Linked DNA regions of Schizosaccharomyces pombe. The protein of the gene in region 1 interacts with the protein of each later gene in a pairwise test. Each region holds a gene or a part of one and is shown on either strand. Other genes may lie near its edges.

Evidence for each region. Proteins that work in one complex are often made in the same cells at the same time.
Region 2: the proteins of hsp16 (region 1) and eft201 interact in a two-hybrid assay, tested with the Schizosaccharomyces pombe proteins (one study listed by BioGRID).

What each region holds. Positions count from the first base shown.
Region 1 is NC_003423.3:2,657,331-2,665,271, forward strand, and holds hsp16 (heat shock protein Hsp16), read right to left. Parts: upstream 3,663-7,941; 5' UTR 3,592-3,662; coding exon 3,160-3,591; 3' UTR 2,809-3,159; downstream 1-2,808. Other genes in the region: 1-phosphatidylinositol-3-phosphate 5-kinase Fab1, read right to left, coding at 1-2,013; SPOM_SPBC3E7.17 (uncharacterized protein), read left to right, coding at 4,466-4,648; ric8 (synembryn ric8-like protein), read right to left, coding at 5,158-5,320, 5,367-5,429, 5,508-6,245, 6,308-6,444, 6,498-6,611, 6,706-6,906, 7,146-7,322.
Region 2 is NC_003424.3:2,904,643-2,911,796, forward strand, and holds eft201 (translation elongation factor 2 eft201), read right to left. Parts: upstream 5,620-7,154; 5' UTR 5,588-5,619; coding exon 3,059-5,587; 3' UTR 3,001-3,058; downstream 1-3,000. Other genes in the region: tcb3 (tricalbin), read right to left, coding at 1-2,404; SPOM_SPAC513.02 (phosphoglycerate mutase/6-phosphofructo-2-kinase family), read left to right, coding at 7,077-7,154.

The DNA.
Region 1 (7,941 bases):
GAGTTGAAACCTGCCGCAAGTACCAAGACGAGGACAAAGCGACAATTTATCTATTGACGATATTATGTCTGCACGACAACATCTAGCTATGTCATATAAAACTGATTCTTTAAGTCCATGAAAGGCTATAACGCCATGTTCTTCAAAGTACTTCAAGGCAATACTGGGGATTTGACCCTGAGCAAAAACTAGATTCGGTTTAAGCATGCAGATTCTATTGACAAGATTTATAATATACTCTTCTTGCTGAGAGATGATTAAATCCAAGGATAAAATTCTCTGTTCGTCACAAGCGTAGTCTAAACTGAAAGTTAAAAGAGCTATACGAGGCCGACGAAGCGAGCGGTCCATAGATTTGGACGAAGCTTTTTTTGAGAACAAAACACCATTAACAAGAAAACAATCTTGAATGCTTCCCCCGGGAATCTTTTTTATTTTTACATAGCTGCGGACATCAATATCATCACCAGAGCGAATATCAGGACCTAGATCCAAAGCCATTTTTAAAAGAATTTTTGGGAGACAAAGTACCCATTGCATAGGCGAATCCACACCCTCATCATTTAGCATTTGAAAGAGTAATTTTCCCAGAAAAGTACATACAAGCTGATTAAATGAATCAGAGAAGAGAATCCAAGGTGGTAAAATACATGTGCTTTTGGAAGAGGTAACTACAGAAGAAGCACGCGACTTTCCCTGGTAAGGAAGAGGCTCTTCTGTTCCACCGGGATGATTCACCTTATCAACTCGCGCATTGAAGTTTTCAATTAAAGCGGGAAGTCCATCGGGAATAGTAGAAGAAGGAAAAAGATAGTCGCAAACCGTTTTCGGAAGAAAAGCTTTTAAAAAATTTGATAAGTAACTTTCATTACCGTAACGCTGAATTGATGCAACATTTTGCTGGCGTTGCTTAATAATTGCACTATTGGCATGAAAAGAAAGGCCCAATCCATCATTGAATAGTGATTCATCGTCGGAGTCGGAGAAATGATGATAGGAATTGCCCGAATCGGCCAAACCCCGTTCATCAGTCAAGGAAGAACTTCTTGAAATAAAGGGTTCATTTATTACTGTGCTCAATCGATCGTAAGACGTTGCTTTTATATTTGGAGAAAGGTTAACAAATGAAAGGCCTCTGTCGCCTTTGCTAAAATCCTCGAGCCGGTTTCTTTCATCAGCCGACAAGTACATATCAGAGACTTTCGCTGAGGAAAACGCTTTATTCTTTCTTAACTTTGAGTATGAAGGTACTTTTCCAAAATTGACGGGACGATAATCTGTGGAAACAGAGCTAGGACCAGCATCGTAACTATTTGTAATGGTTAAAGCATTATATTTACCACTTTCGGAATCTTCAACATTTATAACATTCGAATCTAAATTCCTTTTGCTCCAGTCAAGAAAGATGGAATGGTGAGCCCAACCAGGAGAATCATAATTCGAGCGACTAGAGGGAATAGCTATCATTGGAGCAACTTCAGGAGGATGAATATTATTAGGCATCTCAAATGTGCTACTTAAATCTCCAAATGATGATAGTACTTGATCATTCGAATTAAGTTCGTCCAGTGTAACAAACGGATGTTGCTCCGTAAGATCTCTATTTTTGGATTCGTTTAATGAATGATTGAATAGCTGGCTTCGAGAATAATTATTAACTAAAATTGAAGCACATGGACGACACACTTTGATCGATCCTTGGAGACGAAAGATAAATCCAGGAGCTTCTTTTAAGCAATATTTGCAGATAATTTTCCCACATATTCTACAATGATGTTTCCTTCGAAATAAAGTAAATTCCGTCTCACATAATGAACAGTTGTTTGTTCTTTCATCTTTCATCCAAAATTCGCGCGACAACGTACTAGTCGGCAATTTCAACGTAGTGTGGACAACATTCTCGGAATCTTTAATGATTTGCTCTGTGCTTGATGTATGCAAAGTATCTAAACGGTGAGAGGTTTCAACAGGAAAAGTGGGCGAGGCTGCGGTAGGCGTTTCGACTTCTGACATTTGAACAGAAATGCAAACCGAAGATTAAAATTATCTCCGGAAATTATTGGTTCTATTAATTAAGTTCTATGAATTGTCATGATTGTTATATCGAAAAGCATGTACGTTAAACGCAGCTGTTTGATAATAAATACTTTAGGTTTTGGTGTTGATAGAATAGTGTATATTAACGAGATTCGCCGAATTTAAGTTTTACAAAGCCATAGCAATACAAGAGCTTTCGGCTTTACTGTAGAGCTAGATATTATAGCAAACAAGAATTTGGTTTAATCACACACGAAAACCATAACATTCTTAACTTTAAACTGTATGTTGATTACTGAAAAAGAAAGGTACCCTAGGCTATATATTTATGTGTACTTTTTTTTATAGGAAACATTGGATCACCCAAGGATTAGTGGTAGTATGGAAACACTCGCTCAAGGCCAAGGAGATTTAACTACTTTTAGGTTAGCGTGTCCATGAACCAATGAACTAGTAATATAAAGAATAAAAATAGAAAGGAACACATCTATGAAGCCCTTGTCCCTAACATGAAATCACAAAACTTCCGCTTAAACAAACCTTATGGCTCACTAATAAAACCAAAAATTGTTAAGAGCATATTATCAGATCTCCGCAAAAGGAAGACGATTTCATTGCCCCGGTGATTTAAGACTCAAAGAGCATACACAACTTTATGATATGCTAATGTAACTCCTGTTAATTCATTAGGAGCTACATAATACTGTTCTTTTTTTTTGAAAAAAATAAAAATAAATCTACACATATTACGATAGAGCATTTTGAAACAACTTGTTTTCTAATTAGGAATAAAAAAATATTTATTTATTTATTTATTTTGAAAAATTGCTAGAGATCACTTGCTCATCATTGGAGAATCGTAACAAGTGGTAGTCAAGATCATTAAAACACTGTCTGACAGCTGGCCATAAATTGCTTGATGTGGAATTTAAATGCTCTTTTACTGTTTAGAAGACCGTGTTCAATTCATTATCAAAATTCATCAATCCAATGGCAAGCGGATCATTAATTGCATATGTTATGATTGATTGTTAAATCAAACAATAATATATGCTCACAATCCAACAAGATTGGTCTCATAACCATTTCGAAACTATCATATTAAAATCGGAAGAGACGATTTTACTTAATAGCAATTTGTTTCTTAGTTTGGGACTTCTCGACCTTGGGCAAGGTGACAGTCAATAGGCCATTACTGAAGTTGGCCTCAATGCGATCTGCATCAATCTTGGCTGGAATAGTAATGGTACGAGAGAATGAGCCAAAGCGACGCTCTGACCAGCGTTGGTTACCCTCGGTGCTTTCATTCTTTCTCTCATTGACGACTTCGCCAGAAATAGTAAGTTTTCCGCTATCATAATGGACTTGAACGTCCTCTTTCTTAACACCAGGGAGTTCTACATCAACGCTAACAGTGTCTTTACCCTCATGCACATCAATCGAAGGAGACAACTCCCCAGGAATTTGGTTGTTCAAACGAGGGGAGTAACTAACAAAGTCAGAGAACAAGTCGTTGACAGTAGGGGGAAAGCCGAAAAAAGGTTGCAAAGACATTTTTTAAAATTTAAACAATTGCGAGTAACTTGAAATTATATGAATTCAATTCAAATCTGTATTTGTTCGATGCTGGACTAGCGGAAGGAGTACCCTTATTTATACCTTTCTGGGAAGCACGGAATGGGATGGATGTCATATATTGTACGATGACTCGAATTTTCTCGTAAACGTTGTGAAAGATCACGAATTTGCCGGAGTTTGTACTTTCGGAACGGCGTCTTTTGCTAACACTCAAACTCTGTATTGGGTGGACTTAGATGTTCGTTAGTGCTTGCTCTAGAAAAGTCCAAATTTGCCACTTATGCGCCACAACCGAGGCAGATTCAAATATAAACTTCGGTACGCAAGGCTGTGCTATCTTTCTAGAGAGATCTAGAAAATAATCATTCTAGTAGAGTTAGAAAAATACTCATTTCATTGACTGTATATCGTTTCCTTTACCTTATTTTTTTTTTTACTTTGTAGTCAACTAACCAAAATAAAATTTTTAGGACGCATTTAGATTTGTAAATAAACCATAACGTAAGAATTTTTCTTTCTAATCTTATGATTTGAGCGCTTTATTGGCAAAGACGTATTTTGTGCATTCACGCAATTGTTGCTCATGCACTTGAAAACATTTCATAAATCTATAAAACTTATGCGACTTCCTCTTGTTCGTCATAAAATTGTTCTTCTGCAATATCTACGTTAAAAGCATAGCAATATGAATAGTTAATTCCTTTACTTTACACAATTGTTGGGTTAAGTTACGCAAATTTCTGCGATTGTTAACTTTTTAAATATTCAAATAATAAATATATTTGAAGGAATCGGACGTTCTACTGTATCGTCGCACCTCATATTAGATGTTTTTTCCATCATTGCAGTAATGCTCACGGTAGAGTGTTTGATTTACGCAATAAATTTCACAAGTGACTCAATTGGAAGATCCTTAAAATTGTGGGGTACATCCCGTCGCTTACGATTTGCGGAGACGGAGAGTTTTCACAACAAAAAACCTACGTCATTATTTACCCAACATGAGTTTTCCTATTCATGCGCATATCAATGAAATCTATATTATCGTAAAGTCAATTTCGTACAGCTGTCGTTTTAATCTTTAGTTTAGAAAAAAGTAGCTAACTCTCTAGCAAGGAAAATAAATATTGAGGTTTATAACATGATTCAACCACTACATTCGAAAAGCAAATGAAAAATTTACGACGGAAGCTATCGCTCTTTTTTCAATAAACAAACCCTTTCCTGAATTGTTGACAAAGTTTATTATTAATTACTAATAAACAACTATGAGAAAAGATGGGGAAACTGCAAATTATGCCTAATGACTGCCGAATATCATGATATTACTTCCATCTTTCCATTCTGCCGTCTTCTTTTAAGTCTTTTACCTACCGAATAATACATGATCAAAATCTTACTAAAAATAATGTCGTTTAATAACTCATTACATATTACATACCGCATAATGCGAATTGCAATATCCGACGGTTAAAATATAGACATTTACGGTATACAAATGAAGTTTACCAACTCACTAGACAATGTAAAATACACGACGTACTAACTTGCTTTGCTAATTTTGATAAAATGAAGAATTTCATGAAATTTAAAAGTGGAAAACATTAACAGTAAAATATGTATAGGTCCAACAAAACTATGATAACAATGATATATGAAACTCTCCGAACTCATTTGAAAAATAAGACAAAAGACAACGTCTATACTTTAGTTTTTTTTAATCAGAATCATTATCATCCAATTTCTCATACAAGCCGCTATTTACAGCTTGTTGGATAGGATTAGTAACTTGAATAGTACTATTTTTTTCCAAGCTACCAACGTCAGCCAAATATACTCGAGACATATATATGTATTTTTTTAAAAAAAAATAAATAAACAAACAAACTTACCGTTGAAACAAATAGAATAATCTTTCTGCTTCTCGCTCTTTCTCTTCTTGGCTTAACTCAAGTCTTTGAGATTTATTTCTATTTGTGCACATACTCCCAGTAATAGGATCGATTGCAAGGTTATTTTCTTCAGTATTTTCTTGGCCCCTTGAATTTTTCTGGAATACTGGTGAAGCGGCTTTTGAAAGTGGGCTAGGAAATGGCATAGTTTCGGAATGTTGTGAGATACCCATCGCATATCCAGCTCCAAATATTCGTGCAATTTGCTGTGAATCCCCGTCGCATAGTTCATTTAAAAGGGACGCGTAGTAAGTGCCAATGGGCTCAACAATTGGTATAGTTAAAAGTCTCAGTAAAAGGCAACGGAAGCTTTTACCCTTTTGAAGACTCTGTTTGCGATCATCGTTAGTTGGAAATAATAGCATAGAAAGGTTCTGTTTAATGTTAAAAAATGAAAGAAGAGAAAGCAGAATTGCTAAAATCGGTGGCAGAGTATTTTGATACTTTGCTGCTATGTCAAAGCACAAATTTAGGCCCTTTTCTAGGTATTCTACTTCGCGGGAAATAAGTATGGATTGTAAAGTTTGACAAGCAATTTCAGAAACATAAATGGCTTGGTCAAGGGAGAGCAGCTGCAGATTGAAAGATAGTAGAGCATTGGTAGCATGCCATCGAAGCGGCGAATTAGGATTGTTATTTAAAGAACTGGCCCAAATTTCAATTACAAGTAGAAGAATTCTGAAGGAAGAATTAGCAAAACCAGAGATAAAGGAACTCATTAATTTTTCAAATAAACGTACTTTTGTTCGTCTTCCTCCTTTAAGTATGAACGTTTGCTAATTGGAAAAAGCAGCCTCAAAATTTCAGTTAAAACCATTTCGTTATCTTGGCTATTATTAGAGGGCGAGCTATTTAGTGTCCACATTTTCTTCAACATCTTTCAATACTGGGTTATTTCGAATAAAAAAAAAGCGTCGATATAATACTTACCTGTATTAACTGAGTTCTAACCTGTCGCATATCTAAGCAAATATCATCGGTTTGTGTAGATAGGAGAATGAATAAAAAACGCATGAAAACAACTCTTCTCTCCAAATCGTCATTCTGATCGTGTGTTAAAAAAGTAATGTTGAGTAAGAAGGAAGAAAATATAAAAAAAATCAAATTCAACCTCTTTGTCTGCCTTATAGACAAATACAAAGGTTGAAATCAGTGATAAAACTTTTGGGGCTCTTACTTCGAAAACAGAGGTAGTGAGTTGTTTTAAGGACTCATTGTGTACAATTTGTACTGAAATACTGGGTACCTGTCTCAAGCAATTTGCTAACAATTTCATCAATTCAAGTGAAACATCCTTTTCCCATAATAAACTTATGACTCTAAGTAGATGGCTCCAATTCTAATCTGTTAGCATCTGTTTCAATATAAGACTTATGCTGGGCATTGATCATCAAAGAACGAAGATATTGAAACGGAAAGAGATTTTGCAATTAAACCACTATACCTATATCCTAAAGTATCAGATTATTGCCTCATAATGTCCCTGTATCAACCTTCACTAGGCCTTTTTCATTTAGAATCTGTACTAATATAGCATCGATACAGTAAGAAACCTTGATCCCACAAATAGCCACTTACCAAAGATTTTGCAACTACTTTTGATGTTTCCAATTCTCTACAAGCTTCTTTTAATTTAATAATAGTAGAGATGGGTATGTTAAAACTTTGGTTTGCTTCGTCATGAAATTGTGTAGCACTTTGTGAATAGCTTTCTATTCCTAACCCCAAACTTTGGATATAAGCTTCCAATTCCATTCCTTTTAAGCACATGAAATAATTTGTTAATTTTAATGAGTTTTCTTTTATTTAAGTCTCCATTAACATCAATTTATTTGCGCTTAAGATTAGTGTACTTAAGGTCTTACATGACTACCTACTTCAGCGTCAAAAGTTGTAACAACGCTGACATTCGTAAAAATGGTATCAGTCCTTTACACTACTGTCACCATTACTGCACTACACTATGCAATTTGCTCTGCGTTTACAAGATGCTCATATTTCTAAATATTAGTCAAGAACCTTTTATCAACAATTACGCATGAAATTTTTTATGCTTTATATAACTACCCTTTAATGAAAAATTTTAGAATTATCATAAAATGAAGTTCCACCGAGCTGGTTCCTCAGTTCGATTATTTAATGATAATTACAATTATAAGAATACCAACAATAGGCTGCTACTTATAATACCTGTGTACTGTAATATTAGATCTCAAAAAAGCTTACCGCACTTCTTCCTATCGTTAAAACCGATACTAGACTGCAATTAGTTTGATAACAAGTTTTATAACTTTCGATATCAAAATTTCTTGGTTTTACGTGAATAAAAGAAAAGAATCAAATAATGAGCTTCGTAGAGTAATTTCAGCCTTCT
Region 2 (7,154 bases), on another chromosome or scaffold:
AAGCACCATTTTCGCCTTGATTGATAAAATTTGATATGTTGATAGGGGTCTGTCCAATGAGTTTGTCTTCACCAGATGAATTGTAATTCATCACTTGTAAAAAGAAGATGTCATGTTTGGTAATTACGGGTGCATACATGTATTCATCCCAAAACGGATTTACATTGCTAGCAATGACCACTGTCCTAAACTGTTTCGTATTGTGGGACATGATGCGTGCGTAAGAATCACATTTTTTACCAGGAATCTTAGAGTGCAAATTATTCGCCGAACGTAAATGGATACGAATTGCACCGATGGGAGTAGCAAGAGCCATCGAAGAAATACTGTCGTTATTTAACTGAGCAGGTTTCCACATAACAGACATACGTACTCTACCGGATGGAGCATGTTGTAATGGAAACCATAAAAGACCCGTCTTAGTAGCAGCAAACAAGTCCTGCAAAGATACATTAGCGGTCCCAAAAGGATGCTCTGATTCCTCCGTGAATATTTGAACACCCAGAGTAGCATTCTTCCCTTCTGGAAGAAGAGTACCAAAGGATTCTTCCCATGATGGATTATTGTTTTTCTTAATCTTTCTGGTCGTATAGACTTCTTTATTGTTAATAATCAATTTGGCATAAGCGGTAGGTCGTTTCGATGGATCATTGCTAAGCTCTTTGCATTGATGCACAGTAAATTGCAGAACACCAGGGCCATCGACTTTAGTAATTTCTTCGCCAGAATCAGGCACAACTGCATGGAATTTCATGTCATAATTTAAACGACCAACAGTCTTGCCTTTTAAAGTCAATTCTACAAACGCATCATTTGTCACAGGCATAGCTTCCAGAGTAGCTAATGGTAGTACAGCACTGCCCAGAAGTTTGTCACTTCGAATATCGTTAAAATCATATACCTCCAAATTCAGGTTCTCTGAAAACGAATTCAAAACGGAATAAAAAGTTTCGTTGAATACCGGCGAACCAGTGTTGTGAGCCACTTTAGATTTACCAATAACACGATCCGCTGAATTTTTTATAACAACATATGGATCAACAGCTCCACCTAAACCGTCTTTAAAACCATCTCCCTTGCGTAACTTAAATTCTACGGCTCCGAGAGCAGTATTTAAGCCAGCGGCACCCATCATAGATTCGATATCCAGCTCATACACATTGGGACTGTACATCATTGGGCCCAACGTGTTATGTATCTGTTCGGTGATAAACGTAGTAAGACCCGGAATGTTGCCAATATCAAAACCAAACTTATCACCTCCGAGAGGTTTAAGAATGTAAGAGAAAACAGGTTTCTCGGTAAAAGTCAAACCGACAGTCTTGGCATACGGGTATTTATCAATAAGCTTTACTTTAACACGAAGGTTACCAGTGAAGGAAAGGTCCTCAATTAAAACAGGCATTTTAGCTGAAGCAATACTTTTTCCTATTTTCAAATCAAGAGCAATCTTAGGTTTGATGCAAGCAGCAATCTCACGACCCGTTAAGTCACTAATATCATTTGGACTAAATGCTAATCTCAAATCCATCATAACAGTGTCTTCCTCTGTTTTAGGGTAACTACGGATAAATCCCATTCTCGGTGATTTGGTTCCCAGAGTAAATTCGGAGAGAGCCATGGAGTCAATAAAGCTGGGGACATTTTCTGAAAGAATCTGATCCGTAATTTCCGTTATTCTCTCACTTAAAGAAGGTTCAAAAATATACCAAAATTGTTGTAAAAAGGTGTTTAGCCAAGTGACAGTTTCGCTATCATTTTCTAATTTTCGTGTAGAAAGATATCTCGTATAGTCGTCTTTGAAATTGACTTTAACACGTCGATCGCAAATTCGGTAGTACTGGATACAAACAGCCATAATAATGAAAAGACTCAAAAATCCGAAGCGCAAATAACCAAACAAAAATGACATGACTGCCGTATACAAAACAAGCCTTGAATCCTGGAAATGTTGCATAAAGAGAATTTTAAGCTCAATGCATAATTGTAAACGTTCATCAGTCAGCCAAGGACAGTATTGTGCCAAAATGTTCCTAACCTTTTGGTGCCTTTGAATGAATTGCATCGCATCCCTTTTCCTTAATTCCCTCTCGCTAACAGGACGAGTGGGCACTCCATCAACGTCTGATTTCTCTTCAGATGATTTGGGTGCTTGCATTTGTTTAGGGACCTTTAAGTCTCTAGCACCTGAGCCACGGGCTCCAGTATCATCCTGTACTTGAACCTCAGAAACTCCAGCTGATTGTGGGTTTAAGTTATTCTTGTCTGATGGTGAAGCTTCTTGTTCCTTAACTTTCACCTTAACACCACCACCAGCTGTATCAGTAGGAAGATGCATTTTTTCAACCTTTTCATTCGGGTCGGCATTGCTAGCACCCTTAGAGGGCTCAGCCTGCGAAGACATTGTTTCTGCTTAAACAATCAAAATAAGGTGTAGTTTCTGCTTTATATAAATAACTGGTTAATCCGATAACCAAAAAATAAATAGTTTCCGTAATTAATAAATATTGCTAGACCAAAAGAGAACGAATAGTCAAAAAAAAAAAGGTCTTATCACTGCTTGGTTCGTGACAGATGTTGGAGATTAAAGTCACAGTGTATAACTGGCTGTCATAATGAATCAAGAGTACACCAATATCTGGCCAGTTTTACTTTCCCTTAAGATTCCTTAAAATAAGTTGGAGTTTTTGGCGCTACACAGAACGGCGTTTAAATTCAGTAACAGGATTTAGCATAACAAATAGGGCGCCCTTGTTAAGTTATATAATCGGTCTCATATTGAAACACTGTAGAATAATAGTAGTGTCGAAAGCGGATTGAAAACTAAATATGAAACGACTTCCTTGCGATTTTCATAATTATAGGTGTATTTTACACAAGAAACGTTTATCTACAGGATTGCCGAGTATTTTATAAAGGTTTAAGTTTATTAATTCACATTTTTTTAGCTAATCAACGCTACAAAATTAACGCAAGGCTAAAAATCCTCAACACAGCTGATTAAGAATCGAGTTTTTAAATAACCTGTATTAAATAGTAAAAACCAAAACTATATACTTTAAAGGCGGTCATAATATTCAGTGTAGTCGGGAACATTTTCCTTAAGACCCTTACGCTTACGAGCTTCGCAAACAATTTGACCAGGTTTAGAAGTAGGATCCAATGGATCACCAGACATGGGAGACCAATGGTCAAATACCAATTGAGGGAAAGCTTGACCAGCAGTAGCTTGACGAAGTTCACCAGTGAAACCGAAAGACTCGTTGACGGGAAGGTAAGCCTTGATGTTGTACAAGGGAGTACCAACACGTTGCTCCTCAGAAAAGACATGACCACGCTTCTTGTTAAGGACAGAGTAAATACCACCCATAGCGTTTTCGGAAACTTGGATTTCGACCAAGAAAACGGGCTCCTGGATGATGGGAGAAGCCAAAAGGGTAGAAGCGTAGACGACACGACGAGCAGTAGGAATAATTTGACCACCACCACGGTGAATAGCATCAGCGTGCAAAACAACATCAAGAATGTTGAAACGGCAAGAACGCAAGTTCTCCTCAAACATGGGACCCTCCTTGGAAGCCCAGGCAAAAGCAGCAACAACGGAATCCTTGATTTCGTTTAAGTAAGCAACAGCCTTGGTTTGATCAACAACAACATTGGCACCAGTGGTGTCAGGACCGAAACACCAAATCTTACGAGCATCAGTGACATCCCATCCAAACTCGTCAGCCATGATACGAGCACGAACCTTGAAATCATCACGAGGATTGACGTGACCAGTCTCAATGGCGACAGAGAGTTCTTCACTCATGGGCTCAGCAGTCATGAAGATACGGTTGTGCTTGTTGGGAGACTTAGAGAGAGCAGTCATGCTAGAGGGCTCGCTAACGGACTCACGGTAAGAAACGACGGGAGGAGAAATCTTAAGAGGGATACCAGCATGGTCTTCTTGCAAATCCTTCAAGCAAATCTCCAAGTGGAGCTCACCAGCACCAGCAACAATGTGTTCACCAGATTCACTGGTGGTACACAAAACACAAGGGTCGGATTTGGAAAGACGCTTAAGACCTTCAACAAGTTTAGGCAAATCATTACCGTTCTTAACCTCAACAGCGACTTGGACGACTGGGGAGACGGAAAACTTCATAACCTTCATGTTGTGGGCAACTTCGGAAGTGGTCAAAGTACCAGATTTGACCAAAAATTGATCAACACCGACCAAACCAATAATGTTACCAGCAGGACAATCCTCAATAGGCTCAATTCTGGAACCCATCATAAGGACGGTACGTTGGATAGCCTTGATGAAGAGATCGTCCTTCTTACCGGGAACATAGTTAGGGCCTTGAATGCGGACCTTCAAACCAGAACGGACAGTACCGGAGAAGACACGACCAAAAGCATAGAAACGACCACGATCAGATGTGGGAACCATCTTAGAAACGTAGATCATAAGAGGAGCATTGGCATCACAGTTACGGATACCAACAGCACACTCGTCGTCCATGGGACCTTCATACAAAGTCTCAGCACGATATTGTTGAGCAGTCTTAGGAGAAGGAAGATGAAGGACAATCATTTCCATAAGGGCATCAGCAGCAGGCAAGAACTTGCGCATAACGACCTTCAAGAGAGCCTTACCCTCAAGCTCCTTCTCATCGGGCTTGATGGTAACCTCGAGCTTACTCAAAAGAGTGAAGACCTCGTCTTTGCGGCTGTTCATAACAGCATCGAAAATACGATAAATGGGATCCAAGATGAACATGTTGAAAGCACGTTGGTTAGAGTTACCGTTAGCATCGGTAGCAGACTTGGACCATTTCTTGGTCTTAGGGTTGAAGTAGTTTTCACCCCAAAGACGTTGCATCATCTTGTTACGGTCAATACCAAACTTCTTAGCATAACGGTTGGCAAATTGACGGACAGTGAAAGCCCAACCATGAAGACCGGAAGCAAAAGCTACAGTACCCTTGTCAGGGAAAACTTGGCAGTCGCCAAGGACCTTGTCGTAATAAGTAGAAATAACGACGTTAACAGATTCAACGACACGAGCAAAATTTTGATAAAGCTCTTCTTGAGAAATTTGAAGTTCGAGCAAAGCACGGTCAACTTTGTTAACAACAACAACTGGTCTAATACGTTCACCCAAAGCTTGACGGAGCACAGTCTCGGTTTGGACACAGACACCCTCAATGGTATCAACAACGACCAAAGCACCGTCAGTGACACGAAGAGCGGCAGTAACCTCAGAAGAAAAGTCAACGTGACCGGGAGAGTCAATCAAGTTAACCAAGAAGTCAGTACCATCAGCAGGCTCCTTCATATCCTTCATATCATCGTCAGTCATTTCAGCAAACAAGGAAATGGCAGTAGACTTGATGGTAACACCACGCTCTTGTTCGTCAGCACGAGTATCCATGAAACGAGCATCACCAGCCTTGGCAGCAGAAATAATACCGGCCTTTTGAACCAAAGAATCAGTCAACGTAGACTTGCCGTGATCGACGTGAGCAATCACAGACATGTTACGGACATTGGATGGTTTTCCCATCAAATTACGGACCTCTTCAGGAGTGAACGCAACCATTTTTTAGAGATTTTTAAATGTCAGTGGCGGACGAAACAATTTCAAACACACCAAGTCAAATTGATATTATAGTCTGAAACCCTAACCCTGTGTTTTTTGCGATTTATTGCGTTGCAGTATTTTAATCGTCGTTATAATAATGCATTAAGTGAAATTTAAATTAAAAGAAAATACCTATTTGAGAATTAGAGAGGGATTACATGACTAGGAAGGTTGAGTTTTAAAGTCATTCTCTCTTATTTCAAGTTTTTGTTTAGTGGGTAATTGTGCTTTTCTGGCTTAAAAATAATCTTTGTTGTACAAACTGCTTTGGATCTTTTATTAAAGATTGGTGATTTTCGAATAAGTAATTTTTAAATACATTTATTATTCTGCTTTCTGTGACAATGTACCAAGGATTAAAACATCTTGACACAGCAAATCTAAATACTAAAAGTACCTAATTTTTGAAGTCTAAGGCTGTGCTCAGGGCCTAAGATTAATGGTTTCATTTAGAAAAATTTAATGACAGTTGAATATTTGTTAAATTCAATGAAATTTTATTCACCGATTAACTTGCCTTACAAAGACTTCATACCAAATGATGTTGAAAAAAATGGTTCAAGCTAGTAAATCCAAATCAATTGAAAGATTCTGCTTTTAGAAAGGCGTAAAAAGGCTTCTTCTAAGGTACCCAGCTTCACCCTATACTAATTTTAGTAAATTACTTGCGTGAGCCTTCATAATAAATACTAGGAAATTCACTTACATAATGCATAATTATTTAATTGAAAGCTTAAATTCATATTCCAGTAGCATATTATATACAAATATACAAGCATTCTTCCTCTTGGAAATTGAGGATACTCTATAATAGCGAAAGAAACCTGTCAGGCATAACAGAGTATAATCCCATACTGTGTGGTAATTAAAACAATAATATTTTACAAATATTGATCAATTACTAAAAAAATTAAATAAAATAAAATTTGGAACGTGAGGTTATTAGCCTTCCTAAAACAAAACTAAGGTTGTTATATTAGCGAAGACTTTAAAGCTTCGCTAGTTAGTTTAAGTACTGAATATATTAGATGTCATTAAAAAGTTACAAAGGAAAACAGTTTCTTTATTTCTCCTAGATATAGTGAATAATTGAATATACATAGCACTAAGGATTGCTATACAATCATATGAAAATTTTCGGGTTCGAAGATGTTCTGTTAAATACAGCATAGCATCATTCTTACGTTAAAACATGAAATGACATGCCAAAACGTAAACGACAGATTCCGGATTTGGTAATTGAAGAAGCAAACTATCTCGATAGTGTCATACTCCTTATTCGGTATTTATTCTTTTCATAGCTCTGTCTCTGCCTTATATTTGTAGGGCCTTCCTGCACTTTATGATCAGTACTTTCAATACTTGTAACACTACAATACCCTCAATTGCCAGCAGCGTTATTTTGTAAGTTCCTTCTAATAATAAAAAAAAGCATTTTACTCTTATAATGGCATCTAAAGGAATCGATAAAACCATTTATTTTGTTCGACATGGTCAAGTTTCTCATGATGTTGACGAAAATGGC